Linked DNA regions of Macaca mulatta. The protein of the gene in region 5 interacts with the protein of the main gene of each other region in a biochemical or structural test. Links are inferred from orthologs where the notes say so. Each region holds a gene or a part of one and is shown on either strand. Other genes may lie near its edges.

Region 1 (4,518 bases), on a different chromosome or scaffold from region 5:
TCAAAATCCATGAGGAATCCCTCTTCTTATAGAAATCTGCGGGAAAAGCTCTGCTCATTTAGCGTGCACACAGGGAGTCCATGTGTTCTGATTGAGATAGGGGAAAAATCAGGTTTCCTGAACCCAGCGGATGTTACCATGGCGGGAGAAAGGAGGTCATCAGAGTCTTGGCACAATCATCAGTGAGTGAATGCGGGTCCTAGCAACCTAATCCTTGATTCTAGAGGTCACCTGTTGTAGAGCATATCCAACAATCTCTTTCAAAAACACCCAGGCCTGGGCTTTTGGCAGAGTGATGTGGGTTGGTTGAAGTGGGATAGGGAAGAACATTAGAAAAATAATTATAAAGGTGCACAGAGAAACATCCGGAATAAAAGGGTGCACAGCGCGGGAAGAATGAAGAAGGCACATGGATAAGATGGAGGGAAACCGAGGGCTGAAAGAGGCCACCACGGAGGTCACCTGAGAAAGGGAAGGAAGGCTGGCAAATAAAAACAGTTCATGAGACTTTTGAGATCCATGATTATTCTTAAACCGTAACACCCTACACACCTGCAATTCTTTATCTGGCGTAAGGAACTGGAAGAACAATGTAGCAGGAATGGGGAGAGCCAAGTCTCAGCCTCGGGGGCATGGCCTACATTCCACATGGATTTAGAATGAAAGGAGCAGGAGGAGAACAGTGCAGTTCCCAAGATGGCTTTCCACAAAGTTGACAAAATACACCCCAACTCACATACCCGGTCCCTAGTAACAGGGAAACCAGCCGTTTACTATAGTTCTGAATTCAATGCCAAGTTCCTTCTCGCAACTCACCAGGAGTGTCCAGCAGAGGGAGTCTCAAGGAGGTACTTAATAAAGAGAAAATTGTTTCATTTTAACACTCTAGACAGTGGGAGCATTGACTGTAGCCCCCTCCTGTAGACGCAGATGAACAATGAACGCCCGACATGGGTTCTCCCGCATGTTCACATGTCCACCGGCATGTTCTATTCTGCGTGGTGGAGTGATCAGAAATTTCGTTTTGTTTTGTTGAATGGTTAAATGGACCTTGTGTTCTTCAGAATCAAAGAGGAAAGCCCCTGGAATAACATCTCTCTGTTGCCTTCTAAACAGCCCCTTTGTTTCTAAGAGAGTCTGAAAAAAAATATTTACAGTCCATAGGTTATTTACAGCCTCGTTATCCAGCGCCTGACTGGTAACTTTATTCAGGCCAGAAACCTAATTCATTTGGAGCCCTGAATCTAATAACAGATTTTCTTTTCAGATAAGTTTTTTTTTTTTTTTTTTTTTTTTAAAATCAGCCTCTTATAACAGAGATAAAACTATTAACGCCTTCCCTGTCTCACTGGCCACAACTGTTCTCCGGATTTACAGGCGGATTACATTCCCCCCTCGTGCCCTCCTCTGTGCCACACAAACCCTGTCCCCTCTCATTTGCGATTTCATCCACAGAATATCTGAACAAAACCGAAAGAAAGCCAGGGGGACCCACACTAAAAGTATGTGAAGGCTGCGAATTCAATGATTTCATGAGACAAACATTTACACGATGAAACGACTGAAAAATCAGACACACTTGGGTTTAAAATTTCTCCTACTACAAGCACACAAAAACACATCGAAGTGTAAAAACTTAGTTGATTCTGGGTTGCTTTCTGGCTGGAAGCTGACAGAACGGACTGAAGAGAAACGAAAGACAGTGTGCGAGGCAGACCTACTGCTTTTCTGCCTTGCATTCTTTTCTTTCTTGCTAAAGGCAAATGGGGAAAAATACCCCGACGCCAGGTGAAGGTGCACAACACAGGTCGACCCAGACCGAGCCAGGAAAACGTATCCGCCGCTCCCCCGGCTGGAAAACCCAAAGTCCACGTCCCCTTCCACACGCTAATGCGGGGAGATTTTCGCCTATTTCATTGTTCTGCTTGGCTCTGACACGGACTTTTCATCTCTCTCCCCACCTAGCCCCGTGCATTCCGATTCCACAGCCCCCCCAAAATCGGAGGCTCGCGGAGAATAAAGGAGCGTGGGGTGGGCGCGGAGAGAAATGGGAAGGGGCGCGGGGCGGAGAGCGAAGTGGAAAGGAGGTGCTCCGAAAGGTAATGTGGGGGGGCGGTGGAAGCTGAGCCGCATCACCTTCATTTATCGCAAATAAATAAAAAGCACAGTCACCGGTCCGCCTTCCCCGGCGCCCCTGCCCTCCGCGGGCAGCCGCCCACCCTCGCACACGCCCCCTCCCCTCCTGCGCCCCCGGTCCCTCTCCCCGCCCTGGAAGCAGGACCCTGCCGGCGCCGGGTCCCGGTCATCTTCCGGGCGAGGGAGGGGGTCGCGGCCCCCTCGGCCCCGGGTGGGGGCTGGGGCGGGCGCCGGGGGCTGCGGGCGCGGGGCCGCGGGCAGAACAAAGCTGCGGGGGCCGCGGCGGGCGGCGGGCGCGGGGTCGGCGGGGCCGGGCGCCCCTTACCTTCGTACACGGGGGCCATCGGGGCCGGGGTGTCCGCGGTTCATGGCAACGGGGACGGGAAAGCGGCGCGCGAGCTCGGCCCCCCCAGCCTCAGTCGGAATCTGCCATCTTGAGCCTGTGTCTCCGCTCTCGGCGCAGCCGAGGCCGCCCGCGCCCGCATCACCGCCTCCCGTGGCCGGCGCCGGGGGAGGGGGCCGGGCGCGCCGCCGCCGCCGCCGCCGCTGCCGCCCGGGCCCGGCGCGGGGGGCTCGGGGCTCGGGGCTCGGGGCGGCCGGGCGGGCGGAGCGGCCGAGGCCGAGGCGCCGAGCGGCCGCGGCCCCCGAGCGGGTCCGCGGAGGGGCGGGAGCCGGGGGCAGCGCGCGGCCAGGGCCGGCGGGGCTCAGCTCAGCATGGCTGGGCGCGGGGGCTCCGCAAAAGTTGCTGGCGGAGGGGGGCGGCGGGCGGGGGCGGGGCGCGGGGCCGGGAGAGCCACAGGGAGTCCGCGCGCAATCGAGCGCCGATGGCACGGATGCGAGGCGGGGAAGGCCGAGCCGAAGGGCAGAGCCGCGCCGGCGGCCCGAGGGGACCGCGCCGGGAGGGGCTGCCGCGCAGCGCGGGGGGACAGGGCGCGGGGCGGGCCCGGGGTAGCGGGTGAGAGGGCCGGCCTGGACTCGGCGGGCGCAGGGCTCCAAGCCCAGCGCAGCCGAGCCGGTCCGCAGAGGGGCCCCCAGAACTTTGTGTGTGTGTGTGTGTGCGTGTGTGCACGCGCGTGTGTGTGTGCCCAGGTGCGAGGGTGCGCGCGTGTGCTGGCGGGGAGGGAACCGACCCGAAAGAGAGCCCCAGGCTGGCAAAGTGGCTCGCCCATCTCACAGCCGGTTGGCGCTCGCGGAGTTAGGAGTGGAATGAATGAATGAAGGAGTGGGCGCGCGCCGTGCTCCCGGGGAGGGAGGGTGAGTGGAGGAGCTTCGGAAAGCTACGCGAGGTCAGAGGCACCGAAGCCCTACCGTGCACGCCGCGGAAATGCAGCCCCCGGGGTGGTCGCTGGGTTCCTGCCGGAGTCTGGCTTCGACGTCACCCTGATCTTCGCCTCCTCGCGTCTACACTGTCCCGAGGGTCCCCCCTCCATCACTGAATGGGCGCTCACAGCTGTCTGGGTCCTCGCTTTTCACAGCGCTCTCTCCTATCAGGGCTTTCGCTAAACACTCTCCAAACTCTCCCCAGCCCGGAGCCTCTTCAGGTTTGCTTCTCCAGCTGCCTCCCGGATGCTTGGATAGGATGCCCTACCATCCCCTCCAACTTAGGAAGACTTGTTGAGTCTCCTCTTAGGCACAGTTTTTAAAACCGTGGGTCGTGATACAGTAATAGATCATAAAATAAATGCAGCAGAAGGCAACCGGCTTTCAAAAAGAATGAAATGGAATCCAATAGAAAATATTAGAGTCCATTGCCCTTAGTAAGGGCAACTATTGTTTCATAAACCTTTTGTTTCGATTATAGGTACTGGACAAGTGTACTAGACCATGATGTCAATTTTATTTCCGACTGTAAATCGTGGGTTTAGAAAAGTTGAAAAGCTGTCTTTTTAAGGTGTAAAATAATGATCTCTAACACTGTATGACATTCTTAAAAACAACCCCGTGATTTTCTCACTACTTCTTATCCTTTCCGGTCTCCATCTTCCATTCCCATCCTCTATTCCCCGCCCCTCCCCCCAAAAAAGGCAAGCTCTTTCACATTTTGTTAGTGGCACATCACGACCCCTTTCTCTCTGTGATCTTGGACTCTGCCGTCTTCCTTGCCCCCATAATCAATGCTACACTTCCTACCCCTTCTCTTAACTTAATGCCATTCACATTTGCAGAATCCTAGACCACTGTTGCTAAAAGGGACCTCAGAGGTCATCTGGGCCAGCCCTGCCCTTTTAGAATTGAAGAAATGGAGTCCAGAGAAGTAAAATCTGTTGCCCAATGTCACACAGTATTGAAGCTTAGGAACAGGTCTCGTGGCTCCCACTCTAGTGTTCTTTGCTCCACACCTGTCATTTATCTCTTTCCCTTCTATCCTCCCTGCAATCTTTG
Region 2 (3,964 bases), on a different chromosome or scaffold from region 5:
GAGAATCAATCCCTAAATCTTAACTTTTGCTGGTAGAACACAAAATTGGCCTCTAAAATAAAAGCTAGGTTTAGGATTTATAATAACTTACTTCTTTGCTATTATAAGTTAGAATCAGCAGGAAATACCCAGGCAATTTAACAGAATGTGAATCTATATTGCTCTCTGACAAATAGATCATAAGTGCATTGGAACACCAAGTGCAACTCACCTCTTGAAAGTTATGTTGGGTGAACTTGTCTGCTATCCTTAGCAACTCACGACATGAATGTGTGTCAGCAAAAGCCCGAATGCCCAGGCAGTTAGAAGGATCTAATTGTCTCTTTAAGAATTCACAGCAGGCTTCCTGTATTTCTGCCAGCTGGAGGAGGCAAGCAGCTGGCAGAAGAGTCTGAACATTGCCCTCTTCTACTGTTATCTGGGAGGTATATGCAAAGTCAATCAGTAATTCCATAGCCCTCTCATCGATGTCGCGGATCACTACTTCTGTCTGACGGCTCTCTGCCAATTCTCCTGTAAACATAGCTCGGAAGTAGGGACTACAGGCTGACAAAATGACTCGATGGGCATATATCTTCTTGGCGCCCACAACTAGCACCACATCACATAGCTCCCGGTGCTTTCTCAGAAGGTTAATCACTTCCAAGGTTTGTCGAGGGTGCTTGTCTGAGATATAGGGCATGCGGGCAGGTTGGGGAACCCCTTCTGGTAGTTTGTTGGGGTCTCCAAGGGTGCAGCGGCTTGTTACATCCATTCCAGTCTCTCCTGGTCGAATGTTGGTACACCTATAGGAATGATGGGGGAGAGAAAGAAGATGGCAGTATTATTATAAACTCTTTTCTCCCCTTAAATGTTTGTAATTCAAGCGATAAGGAAACGTAATTAGCTTGGTGATTTTTTTTTTTTTTAATTTTTTTGTAGAGATGATGTCTCACTGTGTTGCCCAGATTGGTCTCAAACTCCTGGGCTCAAGTGATCCTGTTGCCTCCACCTCCCATAAGCCAACATGCCTGGTCTACATAAACCATTTAAATTCCAGCTACTATGGTAATAAAACTTTTAGATAAGGTGGTTATGCTTATCCATTTTAAAAATTAAGCCCAAGTTAACATGCTTCAATTAATAGTTCAATTTTGAATTAAAGACAATCTAAAAAGTTTGGATTGACGGCCAGGTGTGGTGGCTCATGTCTGTAACCCCTGGGAGACCAAGGTAAGCTGATCACTTGAGGCCAGGAGTTTGAAACCAGCCTGGTGAATGTGGCAAAACCCTGTCTCTACTAAAATTACAGAAAAATTAGCCATGTGTGGTGGCACATGCCTGTAATCCCAGCTGCTTGGGTGGCTGAAGCACAAGAATCACTTGAACCCTGGAGGCAGAGGCTGCAGTAAGCCGAGATTGCATCACCGCACTCCAGTCTGGGTGACAGAGAGAGACCCTGTCTCAAAAAAAAAAAAAAAAAAAAAAAAAAGTCTGGATTGAAATTTATCTTTACATAGAATCTTTGCAAGTTTATTGAGATTAAAATAGTAAAGAAAATGGCAAGCTAAATGATGATTTAGCAGGACTCCAAAGAGCCTCCAGGTCGATTTTGTTAGACTAATTTGGGTCTAATTTCCTATTAGAGATATTAAATATGATAAGCCTCAATTAAAAGTACTACATATGTCAAACTGCTGTCAAATTGGTCTGAATCACTGAGGTTTCGGTATGATTATAAAATAAATGAATAAGTTCATAAACAGACATTCTTCAATTTATAAGTAAGTAGTATTTAAAAGTTGATTCTAAAAGTTTATTTATTTGGAGGTTTGTATTTTTCTATGGTAAGAGTGCTGTAAATGGGGACTAGGTTTAGTTGTAAAATTCAGTGCATCATAAGAAGCATTAAAAAATGAAATAGAAAGTAACAGCATACATTTCATTAAGTACGTTCAATTGCGTGTATGTACACACACAAATTCGTATAGATATGCATCACTGGTTCCCTTTGTAAACTGCAGGTTATATCAAAAAAGTTTAAATGCCACTGCCCTGAGTCTTGAAGTCCCAAGACGCAAGGAACAATAGGTACAAGAAGGGAGAAGGAAAAGAATCTCTCTCTTTTTCAGATTATTCTACAATTTGTTGTTGCTGGGTTTTTATATTTATTAATTTAAAAAAAAATTTTGAGATGAGGGTCTCACTATGTTGCCCATGCTGGTCTTGAACTCCTAGGCTCAAGCAATCCTCCTGAGTAGCTGGGATTAAAGGCACATGCCACCATGCTGGGTTGGTTTTTTTTGAGACAGAGTCTGGCTCTGTCGCGAAGGCTGGAGTGCAGTGGCACAATCTCGGCTCATTGCAACTTCCGCCTCCCGGGTTCAAGCGATTCTCCCGCCTCAGCCTCCCAAGTAGCTGGGACTACAGGTGCGTGCCACCATGCCTGGCTAATTTTTTGTATTTTTAGTAGATACGGGGGTTTCACCGTGTTAGCCAGGATGGTCTCGATCTCCTGACTTCGTGATCCACCTGCCTCAGCCTCCCAAAGTGCTAGGATTACAGGCATGAGCCACTGCGCCTGGCCGTTTTTGGTTTTTAAACAAAAGCTTTAGAGAAGCATGATGGCTCGAGCTAGTATACATAAACTGTAGAAGTCTATAAGTTGGGCATTTCCTGTACATTTAGGTATGTGTTGTCTAAACTTGTGTTAAAGGACGTATTTTTTAGAAGCTGCAATAATTAGGCCGGGCGCGGTGGCTCAAGCCTGTGATCCCAGCACTTTGGGAGGCCGAGACGGGCGGATCACAAGGTCAGGAGATCGAGACCATCCTGGCTAACATGGTGAAACCCCGTCTCTACTAAAAATACAAAAAAACTAGCCGGGCGAGGTGGCGGGCGCCTGTAGTCCCAGCTACTCGGGAGGCTGAGGCAGGAGAATGGTGTAAACCCGGGAGGCGGAGCTTGCAGTGAGCTGAGATCCGGCCACTGCACTCCAGCCTGGGCAACAGAGCGAGACTCCGTCTCAAAAAAAAAAAAAAAAAAGAAGCTGCAATAATTATTTTCCTTTAAAATGGGTTCTGGACAAAAAGGTGGTGGAGTATCTGTAAATTGCTCAAATTTGATGAACACTGCCTTACAGGATCAGAGTATATATGTATGTGTCTATAAATCTTACAAGTTGGTGTTCTTCACAAGTCTTCAAATATGAAAACTGCCCCTTCTTGCTTGTGTGGAGATCTAGATATGGAATGGAATGGATCATCGGATCATGTAGCATAATGCCCTCCTTTTACAGATGAAGAAACTAGTTTGGTTACGTGACTTACTCAAAATCATGAAGCTCTCAGTCTCTGGATGCTTTAGGGTAAACCACGCATCTCCTGAGGTACTGTGAATATTTAATAACTGTAATTCATGTGAGTACTGGGAGGTGAGGAGAGGGAAGAGTTTCTAGGATGATTTAGCAATTCAAAATAAGGTTTTGTTTTGTTTTTTCTTATGGATTACCCAAATTTCTGTACAACTGTTTTTAAAAGCCCAAGAAACTACACCAAATACAGATTTTTTTTTTTTTAGATTTGGTCATCATGAAAAATTTCATCAGTGAAATATCAAGAAGAGTCAAATAATTCGGTAAAAGCAGCCTATAAAATGCATTTCATATTTAAGGGAATAAGCATAACAAAGTGAACTTACATCATCCCTTTTCTAACTAAAATTAACTGGATGGTATAAGAAATTTTCAGAATTACTTTTAAGTATTGATAAAATACTTAAAATACTTTTATTATCTTTAAAGTCATTCCAGATAATACATAAGATACAAATTTGTATCTTTTCTTTGCAACAGGGTCTTGCTTTATCACCCAGGCTGGAATACAGTGGTTTGATCGTGGCTCACTGCTGCCTCGACCTCCCAGGCTCAAGTGATCCTCCCACCTCAGCCCCCCAAGTAGCTGGGACTACGGGTGTGAGTCACCGT
Region 3 (3,964 bases), on a different chromosome or scaffold from region 5:
GGCCGAGGCAGGCAGATCACAAGGTCAGGAGCTCAAGATCATCCTGGCTAACATGGTGAAACCCCATCCCTACTAAAAATACAAAAAAAAAAAAAAAAATTAGCCGGGCGTGGTGGCAGGCGCCTGTAGTCCCAGCTACTCGGGAGGCTGAGGCAGGAGAATGGTATGAACCCAGGAGGCAGAGCTTGCGGTGAGCCGAGGTCGCACCACTGCACTCCAGCCTGGGCGACAGAGAGAGACTCTGTCTCAAAAAAAAAAAAAAAAAAGAAAGATAAGTAAGTGAGGTAATGCATGTTAGTTAGCTCAAATTAGCCATTCTACAATATATACATATTTCAAAACATGTTGCACATGATAAATATCTATGTATTTTTGAGACACCTTCTCACTCTGTTGCCCGGGCTACAGTGCAGTGGTGCAATCATGACTCACTGTAGCCTCGACCTCCCAGGCTCAAGCAATCCTCCCACCTCAGACTCCCAAGTAGTTGGGACTATAGGAACATACCAGCATGCCCAGCTAATTTTTTTATGTTTGGTAGAGATGGGGTCTCACTATGTTGCCCAAGCTGGTCTTGAATTCCTGGGCTCAAGCAACCTTCCTGTGTTGGCCTCCCAAAGTGCTGAGATTACAGGCATGAGCTACCATGCCAACCTGTAATTTTTATCTATTAAATAAATGTTTAAAGGTTTATTTAATTTTTTAAAAAGAGGAAGAAAAGTGCCCTTTGGGCAGACCAATGAGAAAAAGGTGGTACACAGGTTGTCAAGTAGAGGACAGTCCAAATTTCAGCACCCAGTTGCACCTCTCCTACACACTCATAAACAGCAAAACCCAAAGCAGCTGCCCTGACTATAACTATCACAGAGAAAACAAAATAGTCGGAAACAGGGAAAACTAAGTTAATCATAAAATGTACTTCAGGACGCCCAATATAGACATAGTTCCAAGATACCAGACTGAAGACTGACTGCATGAAAATCCCTTAGGCATGATTTCATTTCATTTGGTTAGACGGGGTCTCACCATGTTGCCCGGGCTGGAGGGCAGTGGCTATTCACAGGCACCATCATAGCTCACTGTAGCCTTAAAATCCTGGGCTCAAGGGATCCTCTAGCCTCACCTTTCTGAGTAGCAGGGACTACAGGCTCATGCCACAGCCCCTAGAGGCATGATTTTTTAAATCCCTACCAGAATCTAGAGAAGAGTACTTGTAGGAACCCTTATTTTCAAAATGTCTTGCACACACATAGACACCCTCCAAGTCATTCGACTCTCAGATAAGTTTGGGAAGCTCTATGGTTTCTTTAACTAAAGAAAAATAGTATTTCTCTTGTCTAATCACCTTGAGCTACTTTTAACTCTATGGTTGTTTTTGTCAGGTACCCTTCTAGATATTACCCTGAAAAACAATTGTTCATTTCAGATTTTATTTCCATAGTTTTAGAAATGGATGCTTTGCCGGGCGCGGTGACTCACGCCTGTAATCTCAGCACTTTGGGAGGCCGAGGTGGGCGGATCACGAGGTCAGGAGATTGAGACTATCCTGGCTAACACGGTGAAACCCCATCTCTACTAAAAATACAAAAAATTAGCCAGGCGTGGTGGCGGGCGCCTGTAGTCCCAGCTACTCGGGAGGCTGAGGCAGGAGAATGGCGTGAATCCAGGAGGCAGAGCTTGCAGTGATCCGAGACCACGCCACTGCACTCCAGCCTGGGCGACAGAGCGAGACTCCGTCTCAAATAAAAAAAAGAACTGGATGCTTATATGATGATGCTAATAAACATCTCCACTTACACAGGATAACCATGTAGTATTTACAAAGGTAGATGCTCTAAAGTGAGCCTCTTACAGAAGCACCCATATCCTAACGCCTGGTATATAAAAGTAACTCAATAAATGTATACAGAAATAAAGGAATGGGGCTAGACGTGGTGGCTCACACCTGTAATCTCAGCACTTTGGGAGGCCAAGGCAGGCAGATTGCTTGAGCTCAGGAGTCTAAGACCAGTCTGGCCAACATAGTGAAACTCCATCTGTACCAAAAATACAAAAAATTAGCCAGGCGTGATGGCATGTGTCTGTGGTCACAGCTACTCAGGAGGCTGAGGTGGGAGGATCACTTGAGCCTGGGAGGCAGAGGTTGCAGTGCCACTGAACTCCAGCCTGAGTGACAGAGTGAGACCATGTCTCAAAAAAGAAAGAAAGAAAAAAATGAATGGAAAAAATGAAGAAAGGAAAGAATGAGGTGAAGAGGAAGGAAAAATGAATTAATGGCCTGAAACAACAATTCATAGATATCTAAGACTGATGTGGTATAAACTGAATCAATCAATGAACTATAACTTATTTTAATCACCATGATAATTCAATTAACAGTATATGGGCCAAGTGGGGCCTCACGCCTGTAATCCCAGCAATTTGGGAGGCTGACGCAGGCAGATCACAAGGTCAGGAGTTCGAGACCAGCCTGGCCAACATAGTGAAACCCCATCTCTACTAAAAATACAAAAAAATTAGCTGGGCGTGGTGGCGGGTGCCTGTAATCCCAGCTACTTGGGAGGCTGAGGCAAGGAGAATCGCTTGAAACTGGGAGGCGGAGGCTGCGGTGAACCGAGATTGCGCCACTGCATTCCAGCCCAGGTGACAGTGCAAGACCCCGTATTAAAAATAAAAAATAAAAAAATAAAAATAAATTTAAAAAAAAACACAGTATATGGCATTACATAAAACCAATTAAACCTTAAAACCTTAAAAATCTGTCTGGATGGAACTTTTTCAAAATTTAACAATGCAACTAGGACGGCAAAGTTGAATCTTGAATGCTAACTTACTCATCTTTTTTTCTGAGACAGAGTTTCACTCCTGTTGCCCAGGCTGGAGTGCAATGGCGCGATCTCGGCTCACCGCAACCTCCGCCTCCTGGGTTCAAGCGATTCTCCTTCCTCAGTCTCCTGAGTAGCTGGGATTACAGGCATATGCCACCATGCCCGGCTTATTTTGTACTTTTAGTAGAGACAGGGTTTCTCCATGTGGGTCAGGCTGGTCTCGAACTCCTGACCTCAGGTGATCCATCCGCCTCGGCCTCCCAAAGTGCTGGGATTACAGGTGTGAGCCACTGCGCCTGGCAACTTACTCATCTTTACTCACTTAAACCATACTCTGTAAGGACAGGACAAATTTTCCTCCTATGAGGGAGTGGAAAAAAAAAAATCCAGTAACCATAAGATAATAATATTACCTTTATTTCTGCTTAGTGAAAGTGCAATTTCAGAATTGTTATTCAAAGGACGGCGTTTTCCTTTCCCTACAAGCTCTGTATTTACAAAGGTTCCATTGCCACTGTGATCTTCTATGTATGCAATGTAAGAGTTTTTAGGACCCACTTCCTAAAACAGAGAACATTTTATTTCAAACTTTGAACAGCAGAGATTTATAGTGGGAAAATACCTAAAAACAATGACTAGATTACCAGCTCTCCTAGATACGTGGGTATTTGTTACCTACCCTGAAAATCCGAAAGTGTTTCTTGCTATATGTCCGGTATTTATCTGTTCTTTTCAGCAGTGGTTCATCAAAGCAATATTCACAGCTTTTGTCCCTCCCAAACCAGTAGTTGTCATTCACACATTCTGTAATACAAAAGCATGCAGCAGACAGCTGTTGAATTTCATATATCAAACGTTTAAAAATTGGTCATAAATGCTAATTGTAGGAAAATAGCCTAAGAAGGCAATCAGAATTATCAGTCTGCTTATCAAGATTTTATAAGATTAAAAATCAGGAGAGAAAAAACAACATTTACAACGAGTTTAACAAATGGCAGTTTATCTATAATCACATGGCCAGGCGCAGTGGCTCACACCTGTAATCTCAGCCCTTTGGGAGGCTAAGGCAGGAGGATCACTTGACCCCAGGAGCTCATGACCAGCCTGGGCAACATAGCGGGCACCCATCTCTACCA
Region 4 (4,515 bases), on a different chromosome or scaffold from region 5:
CCTGAAACATCGCACTATCCTTTGGTAAGCAATTTCATATAGATAGCTGGGGGAAGAAGAGTATAACCTGACCATAGAAGCAGGTACATCAGGAACATTTATTTCTAAAGTCTAATAGAGAACAGTTTTTACTGCTTGATAGTAAGAAGCACTGAGAGTGATTTTAATTGACATTCTTAACTCTTTCAACTCCACCTAGATAGCTAGTATCTATAGATGATGCAGAAAAGAGGTTAGGGGAGTACTTTTCAATAGTTTATTGTATTTTCTTAAATATCCTTTCTGGAATTTTCAGAAACAAAACATAAAAAAATTATATACTTTATTACAAATGGTAAACTCAGAGTGCTCCAAATCTCTTATTTACAAACAACACTGGGCAGGACACCCAAACAAACAAACAAGAAATAACTTACAAAGGCATGAAGCTGTTTATTGACAGTAATCAGCTTTCATCAAATTAAAAAATATATATATGTACATACACAGTTAACGAAGGCAGGCCAGAAAGAGTTCATCTGTAGGCTCAGCCTCGCTCTCACAAACCTCCCTCCTGCCGCCCCTCCCCAGCCCTCCCCCCCGCTTTGTGTTCTTAATGAGTACTACAGAAGCAATCTACAGTCTCTATTGCAGTTTGTAACCCCCTCCCCCTCCCCCCTTTAATACTGAATGAGATCGAATGTTAGGTCCATGCAGTTCTTGGTCAATGTTAACGAAAAGTCCAACGTTCCGTCCGCGCGGGGACAGCCCGTCCGCAAAGCGGGGCAGCCCGCAGGCGGCCGCTCCCTGGCTCCACGCCAAGGGAGGGCGCGCCAAGTCCTTCCCACTCGTGCACACTGGGGGCGCCGTCAGGACGCAACCCAGTCCAACTTGGATACCCTTGGCTTTAGTTCTCGGACACTTCTTTTTTCTCTCCGTCGCAACTTGTCAAGTTCTCAAGTCTGTCTCTCTGTGTTATTTTTTTTCTCCGTTGCCCCTCAGCCCCCAACAGTCTCTCTTCAAAATGTTTGCAACTGCTGCGTTAGCATGAGTTGGCACCCACTGTTAACGTGGTTCATGACTTTCTGTTTAAGCTGTGCCACCTGTTCCCTGAGCATGTTGGCCGTGGACGCCAGCTCCGAGTTCTGAGCTTTCAAGGTTTTCACTTTTTCCTCCAGCCGGGCGATTCTCTCCAGCTTCCTTTTTCGGCACTTGGAGGCAGCAATGCGGTTCCTCATACGCTTCCTCTCCGCCTTGATCCGCTCCTGGGACTCCATGTCAATGGGGGACAGGGGCGGCGTCTCGCCAGGCATCTCGGGCACTGTCTGAGGCTCCTCCTTCAGGGCTTGCAGCCGCGGGTGCTGCACGGGCATCTGCTGGGGCAGGTGGTGCGGCGGCTGCGGCGGCGGCTGCTGCTGCTGGGGTTGCGCGGGAAAGGCCAGGCCGGCCGCGCCGTAGGAGGGCGCCCCGCCGCCGCTGCTCAGCGCGCCTGGGTTGAAGTTGCTGAGGTTGGCGTAGACGGGCGGCTCGCTGTGCAGGCTGGCGCTGAAGCCTCCGCTGCCGCTGCCCCCTGCCACCGAGGCTACCGCTGGAGCTACCATGCCCGCCCCGCTGACCGGCTGCGCCGCTGACGTGACGCTGGGCAGCGTGTTCTGGCTGTGCAGTTCGGCCAGGGCGCGCACGAAGCCCTCGGCGAAGCCCTCCTGCTCGTCTGTCACGTTCTTGGGGCACAGGAACTGGGTGGGGGTCGGCGTGGTGGTGATGTGCCCGTTGCTGGACTGGATTATCAGGCGCTCCAGCTCGGGCGACGCCAGCTTGAGCAGCCCCACGTCGGGCGAGGTGAGGAGGTCCGAGTTCTTGGCGCGGAGGTGCGGCTTCAGGCTCCCCACTGGGTCGGCCAGGTTCAGGGTCATGCTCTGTTTCAGGATCTTGGGGTTACTGTAGCCATAAGCTCCGCTCTCGGACGGGAGGAACGAGGCGTTGAGGGCATCATCATAGAAGGTCGTTTCCATCTTTGCAGTCATAGAACAGTCCGTCACTTCACGTGAGGTTAGTTTGGGCTGCGTGCTGAAGTTTCGGGGCCGCAACAGCGCTCTGGCAAGCGGGGGACACCCGTGCCCCCCGGGGCCTTTGGCAGGGAAAGTTTCTCTAAGAGCGCGCGCACCCGCTGGTTGTCGTCCCCGCTGCGCCCTCCTCACCAGCTCGCTCCAGGGAGCGCAGGGTTAATTAAGATGCCTCCCGCACTCTTACTTGTCGACTCGCGCGCGCGCTACCCGGCTTTGAAAAGTCGCGGTCACTCACTGAGCGCTCTTCGGGCGCCGCCGTTCCTTGGAGTCCGCGGGCGAACTCGCTTCCCAGAGCAGCGGCTCTCCCGGCGGCGCGGATCAGTGCCGACCCGCAGAGGCCGACCAGCGGCGGGTCTCGGCCGCCCAGACTCCGACGACTTGTCCCCTCCTCCGCTGCGAGGGGGAGGGGGCGCCCGGCAGCCGCGGCTCGCGCTCGCCCAAGTTCAGCAACCGGTGCGAGCGAAGCTGAGCGCACGTCCTTCTTCTTTTGCGTGGCTGTCCGCCGCCTCCTGGTCTTTACCGCCGCCGAATAGCCTAAGACGCAGGAAAGGCTTGCAAAAGTTCGCTCCGGGACTCTGGGCCAGTTGTCTCCGGTCCTCCGGGCCGAGAAAGTTCTTTGCTGCTGCAGTCGCTCGCCGACTTCCCCCGGCGGGCGCGTGGGTACCGCTGCTCGCCACCGCTGTCAACAGCGCCTGGGCAGCAGGGCTCTCCTCCTGGGGGCGGCTGGAGACCAGGCTCTCTGGGCACTCCTCGTAACACCAGCCCGGGAGCCACAGGCGCTAGCTCTGGGCAGTTGGAGAGACGGTGGAAAAGAAAATAAGATTTGCAGTTCGGACTATACTGCCGTCCTGGCTGGCTGGTTGTGTCTGTCTGCCTGCCTGAGTCCGCGCACCTCCACTCCCGCCTCGCTGCTTCAGCCACACTCAGTGCAACTCTGAGCCCTTATCCAGCTCGAGCTCAACACTTATCTGCTACCAGTCAACCCCTAAAAATAGCCCATGATGTCACCCCAAGGCCTTCCCATTGGCTCGCGTCGCTCTCAGGGGGGCGGGCCCGCCCGTCACCATGGAGACTCCACCCTAGAAGATTCTTCTCTGGGCCCGCGGAGGCTCACGGGATGAGGTAATGCTCCGCTGCCCTCCTACAGTCGGGCCCTTCTTTCTCCTACCCTCCCCCCTGCCGCACGCCTCTCGGCCCTCTCTTCCCCGGTCCCCTCCCCGGGCCGTTTTTCCCGGCCCGCCCGGTGCATTGTGGGCTGACGTCTTGGGGTTTGACTGTCTAGTGACGGTGGCTGCCGCGAGCGGGCGGACGCTCGCAACATCTGACGGAGGGGGCTCAAGTTCACGGCTGCGGACTGGGATGCAGGGGATGCGGGGACCCGGGAGGCCAGGGAACCCGGCCAGTTGTTTTGGGTCAAGGGTGCGGGCGAGGGGTGGTTGTGTTTCCCCACTTGTGGGGCTCGAAGTCATCCACCGGCGTCCGCCACCGCGCGGGGCGGGAGGCTGAGAGTCCAGGTCCGCCGCCCCCCCGCACTTCCGGGGGGCGGGAGCGCCGCCCTTAAGGTGGCTCTGTGAAGTCCCAGTTGGGGGCGAGCCTAAGGGGGCTTAAGTTTGGGGGCGGTCTCCCGAGAGTCGGCCCCCCACGTTGAGAAACGCTGCGAAGTTTGCATCTCGGTCAAGTTCAGGAGGGATGGTCCGCGGGGTTGTCTGGCTGCTCTTAGAAGCTGAGAGATTTGTATTGCCCAAAACTGGACGCTCAGCTGAGTCTCCGTTGCACCCCACTTCATCCTCCGGGACCGTGGGGGAAAGGGCGCGGGGGATCACAGCTTTGCCTCCGAGGGGCAGTTTTTATAGTGGGCGCAATTAGTGGGTAACAGGGTCCAGATGGGAACAAGCGTGTAGGCGATCCGAAACTCGGGGAACCCCGGTGTTAGTCTACTCCCCTTCCCGCCCCCGGACAACACACACACGCTTAACACAACACGCACAACATGCGCGCGCGCACACACACACACACACGCACACACTCTCCACCCGCGCCGAGTTGCTTCCGGGAAAACAAGCTCAGAAGGCGGGGGACACTCGCATAAAGTAACGCAGTAGAACTCAGGAGCCCGGGGTAGAACCTGGACTTCAAATCTCCGCCTTCCCGGCCGGGTGGTGGGCCCATATCCTGAGTAGCCTCTAGGAAGCGCTAGACACATGTAAGTGGTTCCTTTTCCGCGGTTGTTATTTTATCTTCCCCCCGCCCCCCACCCCTTAGGGACGAAAGTGTGTGGTGGAAAGAATCCCGAAGTCGGGAATGCTGGTTCTTTCGTGGCCAGGCTGCAACAGTGTGAAGCGAGCAAATCACGGAACTCCTCTGAGCTTCATTACCCTCATCTGCAGGTGGGGCCGGTGCCGTCCACATCACCGGGCTGCCGGGAGTTAGTGTGACAGGGTCGCCTGCAGCACTAGGGAGGTGGTGGCCA
Region 5 (3,964 bases):
CAGGTCATCCTAGAGACAAGAGGTCTCCTCCACTGAGCCACTGTACGGTTTTGGGTAAGCATCCAATCATCTCCCGGAGGTTTTCTTAGCTCCCTTCTACCCTAACCCCAGGTTCCAATTGACTTCTCTGTTCCGAGACACTGGTGGCTTAAGAGAACCTCCTGAAGTGGTTGGTCCCTCTGGCGCCAAAATGATACTGGGTCTGATTCTCAGCTTTGCAGTTTTTCGTTCCCTATGAGTCATTGCTAGGTCAATCCAGAGTCTTGTAAATTAGCAAAACGTGTCCCCTCTGGGTGGCTGCAGCCCTTTGTCAGGGCCTTATCTCCCCCTTATCCTGTGTCCTGGAACCTAAGACCTTACCAAATCCCAAAGACTGAATAAAAACCCAGTTTCCTTTTCTGTCAAATGGAGACGATCTCTTCTGACTCGCCTTCCCTAGGGTGCAGCAGAGGCACAGGGCGCCCAGGATGGTGGCTTGCGTACTTACCTGTCCCCTGGGTGATGCAAGAGCTGAGGTCCTGCAGGCGCACCTTGAACTCGTCAAAACCGTCCGTGCGCACAGCGGCTTGCAGGCTCTGGGGTTCCTCCTGGCGCAAGCGGCAGAGCGCCTGGCGCAGGAAACTGTGCATGTCCAGCACCTCCTGGTCCGATGCGTAGCACTTCATCCTCTGCACCAGCGCGCTGCCCGTGCGGATGCGCTGCAGCACAGCGTCCAGGCGGCCCAGCCGACTGGCCATCTCCTTGTAGTCGCGCTGGTACCGTGCGTCCACTGCCTCCAGCAGCTCGCGCTCCTGCGCCTGCAAGTGAGCTACCACCTCGCGCACGCGCGCGCGGATCAGCTCCTCGGTCTCGGCGCGCGCGCGGCCCAGCTGGCCGACAGCCGCATGCATCTGCGCGTGCACCGCGCCAAAGGCACTATCCTGCTCCTGCAGCGCCTGCGTCATGGCATCCAGCTCCTCCTGTCGCTGCTGGATCTCTGCGCTGATGTCGCACTTGAGCTCACTGTGGCCGCTGTCAAGGAGAGCGCACGAGCAGCACAGCGGCTTGGAACAGCCTCGGCAGTAGATGCTGTGGACACACAAGGTTGGCCTGGGTTAGGACTCTCCTGACTTTTTCCTCTTAAAACGTTCGTTATAAAATTCCTTTTCCAAAATTACCAGACTTTGAATCATGGCGTGTTTCTAGGTTTCTGCTTTTCCCAATTCATTGTTTGTGGTTATGGTGATAGTATCCAAACTACCAATAACATGAGTATAAAAAGTTACTACAGTAACAATTTCAACATCCGGGAAACAATACAAAGATATACGAAACGACAATCATCTCTTTCCACCACTTCTGAATTTCCCTTCCTCACTGAGGAAGCACCAGGTAAGCATTGTGGGGTGCACCCTTCCACACCTCTCTCCAGTGAAACCGCTTTACACAAATGCCAGACTGGCAGCTGCTTGCAGGATGGTACAGACTTGACACATGTCAGCCATGCCACTTAACCTTTGCGAGAGCCCCTTGGATGAGAATTATTGTTATGCATATTTCCCAGAGGAAGAAACAGAACATGTTAAATGATTGACCTGGATATCTACAATTTTGGGGATTGACGTTTGTCAAAAAAAAAAAAAAAAAAAGAAAGAAAAAGAAAGAAAAGAAAGAAATCGGCCGGGCGCGGTGGCTCACGCCTGTAATCCCAGCACTTTGGGAGGCCGAGGCGGGCGGATCACCTGAGGTTGGGAGTTCGAGACCAGCCTGACCAACATAGAGAAACCCCGTCTCTATTAAAAATACAAAATTAGGCGGGTGTGGTGCCGCATGCCTGTAATCCCAGCTACTTGGGAGGCTGAGGCAGGAGAATTGCTTGAACCTGGGAGACGGAGGTTGCAGTGAGCTGAGATGGTGCCATTGCACTCCAGCCTGGGCAACAAGAGCGAAACTCCGCCTCAAAAAAAAAAAAAAAACAAGAAAAAGAAAAAAGAAAGAAATCAACTCATATAATTACTTTGTAACTTCCTCCTCTTAACAAACTTTCACTCAGAGCATTCCTCTAGGTGCATAGGCACAGATCAGATGTATTCTCTTTAATACTCTGGTATATCCCAGATGGGCTACAATTGATTCAATCACTCATTTTGCTGGCATTCAGGTAATTTCCTGTTTGTGTATTTTCTTTCTTTCTTTTCCTTTCCTTTTTTTCTTTTGGTGCCAATATGGACAACACTTTAGTAATATCCAAGTTATATAGCCTAAACATGGATGCTTTTGTTCCTATGAAATAGATTATAAATATAGGCTTGCTAGATCAAAGTGTTTGTATTTTAATATTTTTATTTGGTTAATTTTTTTTTTTTTTTTTTTTTGAGACGGAGTTTCGCTCTTGTTGCCCAAGCTGGAGTGCAATGGCGCCATCTTGGCTCACCACAACCTCCGTCTCCCGGGTTCAAGCAATTCTCCTGCCTCAGCCACCCGAGTAGCTGGGATTACAGGCATGCACCACCACCCCGGCTAATTTTGTATTTTTAGTAGAGACAAGGTTTCTCCATGTTGGTCAGGCTGGTCTCGAACTCCCGACCTCAGGTGATCCATCTGCCTCAGCCTCCCAAAGTGTTGGGATTACAGGCGTGAGCCACCACTCCTAGCCTGGTTAATATATTTTAGCTAGCAGATACTTCCATAGCATTTATTGTGTATCAGACACTATTATAAGTGTTGGCAAATATCAATTCATTCAATCCTCCTGACAATCCAATGGAATAGATAACATTATTATCCCCATTTTAAGGATGAGAAAACTGGTGCAAGAGGCGAAATAATTTGTTCAAGCTCACACGATTAGTAAGTGGTAGAGTCTAGATGCAAACTCTAGTAGGCAGAATAGTGGCCTCTAAAGATGTCCACGTGCAAATTCCTGAGACCTGTGAATATGTCACCTTACTATGGCAAAAGGGTCTTTGCAGGTGTTACTCAATTAAGGACCTTGAGATAAAGAGATCATTCTAGATTATCTGGGTGGGTTCAATGTAATCACGTGAATCCTTACAAAGGAAAGGGCAGGGAGGCAGAAGGGGAGATGTGATGAATGCAGAGGTGGGAGTGTTGTGATGTTGCTGCTTTGAAGACAGAAAGGGGGCATGCACCAAGGAATGTGGGCAGCCTCTAGAAGCTGGGAAAGGCAAGAAAACATTCTGCCTGAGAGCCTCCCAAAGGAGCAAAGCCTGCTGACACCTTAATATACCTCAGTGAGACCTGTTTCAGACTTCTTACCTCCAGAACCATGAGAGAATACATTTACATTGATTTAAGCCCCTAAATTTGTGGTAATTTGTTACAGCAGCAAAACAAAATATAAAAACCCGGCCGGGCGCGGTGGCTCAAGCCTGTAATCCCAGGACTTTGGGAGGCCGAGACGGGCGGATCACGAGGTCAGGAGAACGAGACCAGGCTAACACGGTGAAACCCCGTCTCTACTTAAAAAAAAAAATACAGGCCGGGCGCGGTGGCTCAAGCCTGTAATCCCAGCACTTTGGGAGGCCGAGACGGGCGGATCACAAGGTCAGGAGATCGAGACCATCCTGGCTAACATGGTGAAACCCCGTCTCTACTAAAAATACAAAAAAACTAGCCGGGCGAGGTGGCGGGCGCCTGTAGTCCCAGCTACTCGGGAGGCTGAGGCAGGAGAATGGCGTAAACCCGGGAGGCGGAGCTTGCAGTGAGCTGAGATCCGGCCACTGCACTCCAGCCTGGGCGACAGAGCCAGACTCCGTCTCAAAAAAAAAAAAAAAAAAAAAAATACAAAAAACTAGTCGGGCGAGGTGGCGGGCGCCTGTAGTCCCAGCTACTCCGGAGGCTGAGGCAGGAGAATGGCGTAAACCCGGGAGGCGGAGCTTGCAGTGAGCTCAGATCCGGCCACTGCACTCCAGTCTGGGCGACAGAGTGAGGCTCAGTCTCAAAAAAAAAAAAAAAAGAAAAT
Region 6 (4,676 bases), on a different chromosome or scaffold from region 5:
TCAGTTCTTAACTCCAAAGGGCTTAAAATAGTATAGGAGAATTCAGATTTTAAAACATAAGAACATACAAGCAAGCGACAACATTTAAGATACAAATACTGAAGGACATGACCTTATCGTGTCATTGACAAGCTATCAAGGCCGGCTCCACCAAAACACGGATAAAGAGGAGGCCAGAAATCCAGGTGCCTGCAGTAAAGTTTAACCTTCGTGATTGCAAAAAGCAGGAGCTCAACTATCTTGCTTTATGCATAGGCGGTATTTACTATTAACTCGGAAAAATGGAAGTGACTTATCCGCACTTTAGCCTCAAAGCTTGAAAAGTTAACCAGTCGTAAGTGGTTAGCGCCTTTGTCTGGCGGAACTTAACAAAATGGCGTTTTCTGGAATCTTACGGAGACTCTGCATATTGGTCAGCTCAGTATTAACTTATTTGGTGAGCGCTGTCCCCAAATCCCGTTCCGGCTGCACTCGCAGGGCTTGCAGCGACATTGAGGTATCTGCCCGCCTGTCCGCCCACCCGGGAAACGGGTAAGATTTGAGAGGTACTTTATAGGGGCAGTTAAATGAAGACTCAAACAAATCCTAGTGTTGATGCGGAACTGCGCGCCGAATGCCTTGGCTCTGACACCTGTTGAGCTGCAAGACTTCACTAAAGCGTCCCACCTAATGACTGTAACAACGTCCCCTGAGGTGGGCCAATATGGCGACGGTCTCCTCTTGGCACAGCCCTCTTCCCTCCCTCATGATGGGCGGCTCCGGTAACGCCCATTGGCCAACTAGGAGGCGGTGCCAGGCTTACTTCGTTCCCTCATTGGATTGAATAACTTAGGGAGCCGCCAATTCTCCTCTGCCACTCCAAGTTTCCGCCCTCAGAGTTAATCTGGCGTTTAATTGGCTTTTAATTCACGTCAATATGCGTCCTTTCCTGTCTTTTTTCAGTCTTAATCCAATCATAACTTTCCTGGCTGCCCGCCTGATTTCTGATTGGTTTTAATCAGCTTCAGCCTATCCTATTCCTGTCTACTTCTTACCTCTCCTCCCACTAGGATTTTGCCCAAGCATATCCCGGATTCTAGTTGGCCGTTGTTCTGTCATTCCTATCAAACCTTTCCCTATCCCAATGTCTCAGGGAGCCCGCCTGCCGGTTGACTGGTTTCCTTCCAAGCCAATAATCCCCAGCTCCCGCCCATCTTCACTTCCTGCATCTTTCATTGGCTTTTAACACTGAGAGGGCTGTCTTTTTGGGCGGACACCAGGCACGCAACTTAGTCTTACACGCCTTAGAGAGCAAGCGAGTCTTGCCATTGGAAAACCTCACCGTCTTTCTTCTGCAAGTCCCACCTTTCCCCCTCCCTCATTGGGCGGGGCAGCAGAGAAGGGGCGGGGCATAGGTTGGGCTGGTGGCGCGCTGCTCCCTCCTCCTCACCCCCCCCTCCCTGTCCGGTCCGGGTTCGCTTGCCTCGTCAGCGTCCGCGTTTTTCCCGGCCCCCCCCAACCCCCCCGGACAGGACCCCCTTGAGCTTGTCCCTCAGCTGCCACCATGAGCGGTAAGGATGAGTCCACTCCAAGCTTAGGGGTGGGAGGCGAGTGAGGGGGCGCGCGCGAGGGCCGACCGGGCGATCCCCGCCGTGAGGGGGGGCGGGCGGGAGGCGGCGGCGGCGGCCTAGGTCCCGCCCGGGGCGGAGGGAAGGGAGGGAGACGGGGCAGTGGCTGGGCCTCCGAGGAGGAGGGGGATGGGCCGCCCGCCCCGGGGGAGGGGGCAGCGTGGCCTCGCCCGCCCCCTGCCCGCCCCGGCCACGGGGGACGGGCCTTACCCCCCACTACTCGGCCGCCCGCCTGAGGCTCCTCCCGCCGGGGGCTGGAGCCGCGGGGGCGGCCCGAGCAGTGAAGGCCCCGCCCGGGCCAACCGCTTGTCTGGTCCGTCCTCTGGTCGCCGCCTGCTCCGGCGCCCTCCTCCCCCCACTTTCCGTAGATTTCCCTTCCCCCCGCCCCACCGTCCCGCCCTTTCCACGCCCCTCACCCCGAAACCGCCCTTTCCCTCAGGGCCCGCCCTCCGCCCCGAAACCTCCTGACTACTAACCAGTACACCCCTTTAGTTCCTTAGTAGTATTCACAAATGTTTTCCTACTAAAACTTTTTATTTCTTTTTCCCTTCTCCTCTTGTTACTTTTAATACTTGGGTTTTTGTTTATCTCTCTCTTTTTTTTTTGAGAGGGAGTTTCGCTCTTGTCGCCCAGGCTGGAGTGCAATGGTGCGATCTCGGCTCACTGCTACCTCCCGGATTCAAGCGATTCTCCTGCCTCAGCCTCCGGGAGTAGCTGGGATTACAGGCATGCGCCACCACACACGGCTAATTTTGTATTTTTAGTGGGGACGGGGTTTCTCCTTGTTGGTCAGGCTGGTCTCAAACTCCTGACCCCAGGTGATCCTCCTGCCTCAGCGTCTCAAAGTACTGGGATTACAGGCATGACCACCGCGCCTGGCCTCTCCATCTCTTTTAACCTTAATTTTAGCAATCTTTCCATCCACCCACATATTGTTTTTTGCCTTACTTGTCCTTTTTTCCCTTAGGATACTTTTTCTTATTTTGAAACTCTTTCAGCATGACTACCATCCTTCACATTTCCTATCCCCAAAGCACTTTTTGAATGTTTTCTTAGTTAATTTTGTGTAAGGGAGAATTGAGGCCCACTTTTGGCACCATTGAGCCTAGTTCATGTCCTGCATGCCCTGCAGCTCCCCTCTGCCCTCCAATCCATTTTCTTTATACTGGCGCCTTTCGCCTTCCTGTTAGTCATTGCTATTTCATCATAGCCTCCTTTTATCCTTCCTACCTCATCTCTTTTCTTCCCTCAAGTTTAAGTTGTTTGTTTTTTAATTGTTTTAGACCAAGATCACTCCATGGATGAAATGACAGCTGTGGTGAAGATTGAAAAAGGAGTTGGTGGCAATAATGGGGGCAGTGGTAATGGTGGTGGTGCCTTTTCACAGGCTCGAAGTAGCAGCACAGGCAGTAGCAGCAGCAGTGGAGGAGGAGGAGGGCAGGTAAGTGATAATAATAGAGTGGGGAAGATGTTGAGAGGATGTAAATATTCTTAGATAATTGCCTTACTCTTCATAGAAAGCTTTTTAGGGAGCTTATCAAAACCATTTTATAGATAAGAAGTAAGAGTATGGAGATCCCCAAAGACAGGAGTTTCAGCAATACAGATAGGTCAGCTTTTTGTTTCTGTTTTTTGCTCCTTGTCTGCACTACGTTGCTGTTTATTTGTTGTATACTGCCCCCTAGGCTGGCAGCTGGGTGTCACTAACTCCTTTCCTCTCCCTTATTTTTGGCCAGGAGTCCCAGCCATCCCCTTTGGCTCTGCTGGCAGCAACTTGCAGCAGAATTGAGTCACCCAATGAGAACAGCAACAACTCCCAGGGCCCGAGTCAGTCAGGGGGAACAGGTGAGCTTGACCTCACAGCCACACAACTTTCACAGGGTGCCAATGGCTGGCAGATCATCTCTTCCTCCTCTGGGGCTACCCCTACCTCAAAGGAACAGAGTGGCAGCAGTACCAATGGCAGCAATGGCAGTGAGTCTTCCAAGAATCGCACAGTCTCTGGTGGGCAGTATGTTGTGGCTGCCACTCCCAACTTACAGAACCAGCAAGTTCTGACAGGACTACCTGGAGTGATGCCTAATATTCAGTATCAAGTAATCCCACAGTTCCAGACCGTTGATGGGCAACAGCTGCAGTTTGCTGCCACTGGGGCCCAAGTGCAGCAGGATGGTTCTGGTCAAATACAGATCATACCAGGTGCAAACCAACAGATTATCACAAATCGAGGAAGTGGAGGCAACATCATTGCTGCTATGCCAAATCTACTCCAGCAGGCTGTCCCCCTCCAAGGCCTGGCTAATAATGTACTCTCAGGACAGACTCAGTATGTGACCAATGTACCAGTGGCCCTGAATGGGAACATCACCTTGCTACCTGTCAACAGCGTTTCTGCAGCTACCTTGACTCCCAGCTCTCAGGCAGTCACCATCAGCAGCTCTGGGTCCCAGGAGAGCGGCTCACAGCCTGTCACCTCAGGGACTACCATCAGTTCTGCCAGCTTGGTGTCATCACAAGCCAGTTCCAGCTCCTTTTTTACCAATGCCAATAGCTACTCAACTACTACTACCACCAGCAACATGGGAATTATGAACTTTACTACCAGTGGATCATCAGGGACCAACTCTCAAGGCCAGACACCCCAGAGGGTCAGTGGGCTACAGGGGTCTGATGCTCTGAACATCCAGCAAAACCAGACATCTGGAGGCTCACTGCAAGCAGGTCAGCAAAAAGAAGGAGAGCAAAACCAGCAGACACAGCAGCAACAAATTCTTATCCAGCCTCAGCTAGTTCAAGGGGGACAGGCCCTCCAGGCCCTCCAAGCAGCACCATTGTCAGGGCAGACCTTTACAACTCAAGCTATCTCCCAAGAAACCCTCCAGAACCTCCAGCTTCAGGCTGTTCCAAACTCTGGTCCCATCATCATCCGGACACCAACAGTGGGGCCCAACGGACAGGTCAGTTGGCAGACTCTACAGCTGCAGAACCTCCAAGTTCAGAACCCACAAGCCCAGACAATCACCTTAGCCCCAATGCAGGGTGTTTCTTTGGGACAGACCAGCAGCAGCA
Region 7 (3,964 bases), on a different chromosome or scaffold from region 5:
CAATGTTCTAATATCTGAGCCAAAAGAAGCAAAGAGGGTTTCTTCTAAAGAAAGATAGTAACAAACCATGTCTTCCTTATTATTCTTGGTCACAGATATTATTCAGGGAGTGATGAGCTCCTGAAATTTTTATCTTATAAACCAACTAGTGGCAAAAAGAATGGGGCTGGCCCCAGAGAAACCCAGCATCCTGGACATGATACATGGCTCCTAAGTTCTATATATCTGATCTTAAGACCAGGATCCAATTTAAGATTCTGAGGTGGTAAGATATAGTAGATAAGACCCAATACTTGGGTCTTAATCTTGGCTCTGCTGTTTACTAGCTGTATAACCTTGCAAGTTTTTAAATCTTTCTATGCCTTGTTTCTTTATCTGTAGAATGGAGATGATAAAACTATCATATCTACCTCCAAAGATATGATGACTATTACAAGAATAAAACACATAAAACATGAATCGTACCTAATGAGGTAAATGATCAATAGTTATTAGCAAATATTATTTGGAAGGTCTTGATCATGCAAAAACAGGATATGGATATCTAAAATATTTAATGATTACTATACTGAGAAACTAAAGATCCTCCACAGCTGTGAAGCTTGAGTATACCCAGATTAGGCAGGGATGCTCACAGAAAGAAGGTACTTAGGAAAAGATACCCAACCCAGTTTTCCTTTGCTGTAAAAATAACCTTCTAAAATAAAATAGCTACTTACAGGTTTAGGTTTAGGAATAGATCAGTTTAAAAATTGTAGTGTAATTAATATACTTAAAATAAACTGGAGTTAGGAGGTGAAGACCGTAACTTTCCCAATACCTCAAATATTTAATAATAACTTTGTCAATGTCCATTTAAAAAATATCATACATAAATGGAGGCTATTTTGGAAATCTTATCATTCATTTTGTAAGCGATCTAAAATGAGTAGAACTTAGGTAGAAAGGGAAGTAAAACTGGATTCCTATAAAGAAATCCCAAAGTATTCCTTCATGCTGCAAAACGGTCAGCTAATACTTATTTGTTCAGAAGAGATGAACTGCAGAACAAGAGCCTTAAAGAGAGTGAGAATACCAATGAGTGAATGTCTTCTTCAGTGTTCAAATCTTCAATACAAGAAAAGGTAAATTCAGTGGTTCTCAGACTCTTAAATACACCTGAGATGTTTGTTAAAAATGCCTGTCTCCACCACACTCCCTCATGGTTACAAGAATGAAGAGGCCTATGAGAGGTGATTTCAATGCGGGTCATCCATGGACCACATTTTGAGAAATAGTGAGATAATGCCTTAATTTAACTGCCACTTAATGTTTGTTATTTGTATGTAAAAATAGATGCAATATTACCTCATCATTGAGCCAATTCAGATGGTTTAGAGTTTGAATATCTTTGCGTGTAATGGTCAGGCGAAATGCTTCACTGAGAACTTCATCCTGATTCCCATTACGAAATACATTCTTTATTTCTTTCTCCATTTCCTAAGAAAACAAAAGGTGTCAAGACATCAAACATGCGTGGCTTCAGGAAAACCATATTTCTCACCAAGCCCCATGAAATCCTCAGACTATATTTATCACCATTCGATTGTTTATAAATTTACTGTTAATTAGTTTACTTCTATGTAACATTTTGGTTTCTATTCCTTCCCAGTAATCCCTGATTACTTCTTTACACTTCATCTAGTCCTCCCTTCTCTTTTTCAGCACAACATTCAGATCCTTGTTTCCATATTAATTCCTAAAATCTGAAATAACCTTCTGCTATCAAATTTTCTAAGTCATGAGAAAAATTAACTATATTTTATATCTCTGGTCCAAACAACTTCCTGAGAAACAGATTTTTTAATGAAAGGTTATAGTAAGAGAGTAAAGGCAGTATCTTTTAGAAATTACTTTCTTAGAGATCTTTTTTAAAATATAAAATACAGAATTCAGTACAACTATAGTAAGTGTGTTATGCTCACTAGCTACAAGGTAGGTTTCAAAGAGACGTATGGATAAAGAAACGGATTATCTAAAAATGTACACAGACCTCCATGTATTTTCTAAATTTTCTATAATGGGTTTTATTACTTAAAAAAAGAGCAAACCTCAGCTTACAATTTAGGATCAAACTATTGTATGTGTGCAGTAAGTAAAAATGCACATGACAGGAAAGACAAATGTATTAAATGCTTCTCCACTGAAGTTGTTAAAAGCCACCAACAGTTCTTTCATAAATTTTCAATATTTTAAAAATAAAGCCCAGATTGGTATGTAAAATAAGTGAAAGCAGAAATATACAAGAAAACTTAAATACCAAGTGTTCTACGGCTTTTTTTTTTTTTTTTTTTTTTTTTGAGATGGAGTCTTGGCCTGTCACCCAGGCTAAAGTGCAGTGGCACGATCTCAGCTCACTGCAACCTCTGCCTCCCGGGTTCAAGCAATTCTCCTGTCTCAGCCTCCTGTGTAGCTGGGATTACAAGTGCCTGCCACCACGCCCAGCTGATTTTTGTATTTTTGGTAGAGACGGGGTTTCACCATGTTGGCCAGGCTGGTCTCGAACTCCTGACCTCAAGTGATCCACCCGCTTCAGCCTCCCAAAGTGATGGGATTACAGGCGTGAGCCACCGTGCTTGACCACTATTGCTTTTATGTTTGAAATTCGTCCGAGAGATTCTTTCTAAACATAATACTTGGTAGTGTAGAAATTAAGTGTATGTAATTTACCTCTGTAATTTCAGGAAATTCATCTTCACTATCAGTTAATTTATGACCTTTTTTTTGTGTTTCTTGGGCAACAGTAACAGGAATCTCCTTTTCAAGAGGTACACGAAGATGCAGTTCTACTGAATCATGTACTGAATGTTCCCGCTCCTGCAATCTCTGAAAGATAAAACTTCAGAATAAGCAGGATAAAGAAATCTGTGGCTGTTCCTTGACTTACGATAGGGTTATGTCCCAATAAACCTGTCATAAGTCAAGGAGCATGCTGAAATGCCTATTGCTTTCGCTTTTTTGTAAAGTCAAAAAATCATTAGTCAAACCATCACAAGTAGGGGACTATGTATATTTGTCTTATGTACAATGAGTAGTACTGACTGAACAGACCGAGAACATTTACCACATATCATAACATGCTATGCTACCATACGATCTTGGAATTACAACAGCAATTACCCAAATCTGGGTAACTTTCCAAAATAGTTTCTATTTCGATGTAGTATTTATTTGCAATATTATTCCAATTTTCTTTTTTACCTGGTTTTGAAGCTGTAAGGCCAATGCTTTCTGTTCTTCAATCTGGCGCAATCTTTCTCGTGCTCGAGAATCATAAACACTAGTTCTAGAAAATGAAAAGGAATGTGACCAAATGTAGACCACTCTCAGTATCAAACATATTGTTGATGTACACTGAGTATTAAATACAGAACCCTCACAAAGAAAGTCTAAAATCCTTACACTAACTTATCATCCTTATTTTAAGACATAGAGTGAAACCACATGTTACTGAAATTACTCTACTCTTTTTACGGACATTATTATTATTTTTTATAGAGACAGGGTCTCACTATGGTGCCCAGGCTGGTCTCAAACTCCTGGGCTCAAGCGACCCCCCTACCTTGGCCTCTCAAAGTGCTAGGATTACAGATGTGAGCCACCACACCCGAACTATTTTTACTGAAATTACTAAAAATATCAGTGCATTGCTAAATGTGAACAGATGACTTGTTAACATTTGTAAACACATAGTTCTTTTCTTAACATGCTTTTAAGATTATAATGAAAGCAAAACTTCAGTCTGGAAATCCAAAAATGGGATGGAACCCCAAAGGAGAAACTAATACAAGATATTGCTGAAGTTTAATTCAAATACTATATTTTTGATAGACTTTTTAAAAATTACCGAGACCAAGGGGTTTGGATAACTCAATAAAGTAAGTTTCTTAAACAAGACTAAATGCTTTCAGTGATTTTGCAAAGT

What was found.
Region 1: of the proteins of PML (region 5) and HIPK2, one has a biochemical effect on the other in vitro, tested with the Homo sapiens proteins (2 studies listed by BioGRID). The link is inferred for Macaca mulatta from reciprocal best matches to the Homo sapiens genes PML and HIPK2.
Region 2: the proteins of PML (region 5) and KLHL20 form a complex in vitro, tested with the Homo sapiens proteins (3 studies listed by BioGRID and IntAct, with this or other methods). The link is inferred for Macaca mulatta from reciprocal best matches to the Homo sapiens genes PML and KLHL20.
Region 3: the proteins of PML (region 5) and CHEK2 form a complex in vitro, tested with the Homo sapiens proteins (2 studies listed by BioGRID, with this or other methods). The link is inferred for Macaca mulatta from reciprocal best matches to the Homo sapiens genes PML and CHEK2.
Region 4: the proteins of PML (region 5) and JUN form a complex in vitro, tested with the Homo sapiens proteins (2 studies listed by BioGRID). The link is inferred for Macaca mulatta from reciprocal best matches to the Homo sapiens genes PML and JUN.
Region 6: the proteins of PML (region 5) and SP1 form a complex in vitro, tested with the Homo sapiens proteins (2 studies listed by BioGRID, with this or other methods). The link is inferred for Macaca mulatta from reciprocal best matches to the Homo sapiens genes PML and SP1.
Region 7: of the proteins of PML (region 5) and SENP1, one has a biochemical effect on the other in vitro, tested with the Homo sapiens proteins (2 studies listed by BioGRID). The link is inferred for Macaca mulatta from reciprocal best matches to the Homo sapiens genes PML and SENP1.

The regions. Positions count from the first base shown.
Region 1 is NC_133408.1:179,611,663-179,616,180, forward strand, and holds the start of HIPK2 (homeodomain-interacting protein kinase 2), read right to left. Parts: upstream 2,851-4,518; 5' UTR 2,481-2,850; coding exon 2,462-2,480; intron 2,100-2,461; exon of another isoform or gene 1,916-2,099; intron 1-1,915.
Region 2 is NC_133406.1:31,211,078-31,215,041, reverse strand, and holds part of KLHL20 (kelch-like protein 20), read right to left. Parts: intron 786-3,964; coding exon 212-785; intron 1-211. UniProt on the Homo sapiens protein: Substrate-specific adapter of a BCR (BTB-CUL3-RBX1) E3 ubiquitin-protein ligase complex involved in interferon response and anterograde Golgi to endosome transport.
Region 3 is NC_133415.1:22,828,396-22,832,359, reverse strand, and holds part of CHEK2 (serine/threonine-protein kinase Chk2), read right to left. Parts: intron 3,633-3,964; coding exon 3,508-3,632; intron 3,390-3,507; coding exon 3,242-3,389; intron 3,189-3,241; coding exon of another isoform or gene 3,151-3,188; intron 1-3,150. UniProt on the Homo sapiens protein: Serine/threonine-protein kinase which is required for checkpoint-mediated cell cycle arrest, activation of DNA repair and apoptosis in response to the presence of DNA double-strand breaks.
Region 4 is NC_133406.1:181,864,768-181,869,282, reverse strand, and holds JUN (transcription factor Jun), read right to left. Parts: upstream 2,988-4,515; 5' UTR 2,004-2,987; coding exon 999-2,003; 3' UTR 671-998; downstream 1-670. UniProt on the Homo sapiens protein: Transcription factor that recognizes and binds to the AP-1 consensus motif 5'-TGA[GC]TCA-3'.
Region 5 is NC_133412.1:51,755,627-51,759,590, reverse strand, and holds part of PML (protein PML), read right to left. Parts: intron 1,069-3,964; coding exon 488-1,068; intron 1-487.
Region 6 is NC_133416.1:60,525,783-60,530,458, forward strand, and holds the start of SP1 (transcription factor Sp1), read left to right. Parts: upstream 1-1,504; 5' UTR 1,505-1,543; coding exon 1,544-1,550; intron 1,551-2,054; exon of another isoform or gene 2,055-2,251; coding exon of another isoform or gene 2,252-2,333; intron 2,334-2,890; coding exon 2,891-3,048; intron 3,049-3,343; coding exon 3,344-4,676. UniProt on the Homo sapiens protein: Transcription factor that can activate or repress transcription in response to physiological and pathological stimuli.
Region 7 is NC_133416.1:55,172,121-55,176,084, forward strand, and holds part of SENP1 (sentrin-specific protease 1), read right to left. Parts: intron 3,326-3,964; coding exon 3,241-3,325; intron 2,866-3,240; coding exon 2,710-2,865; intron 1,480-2,709; coding exon 1,348-1,479; intron 1-1,347. UniProt on the Homo sapiens protein: Protease that catalyzes two essential functions in the SUMO pathway.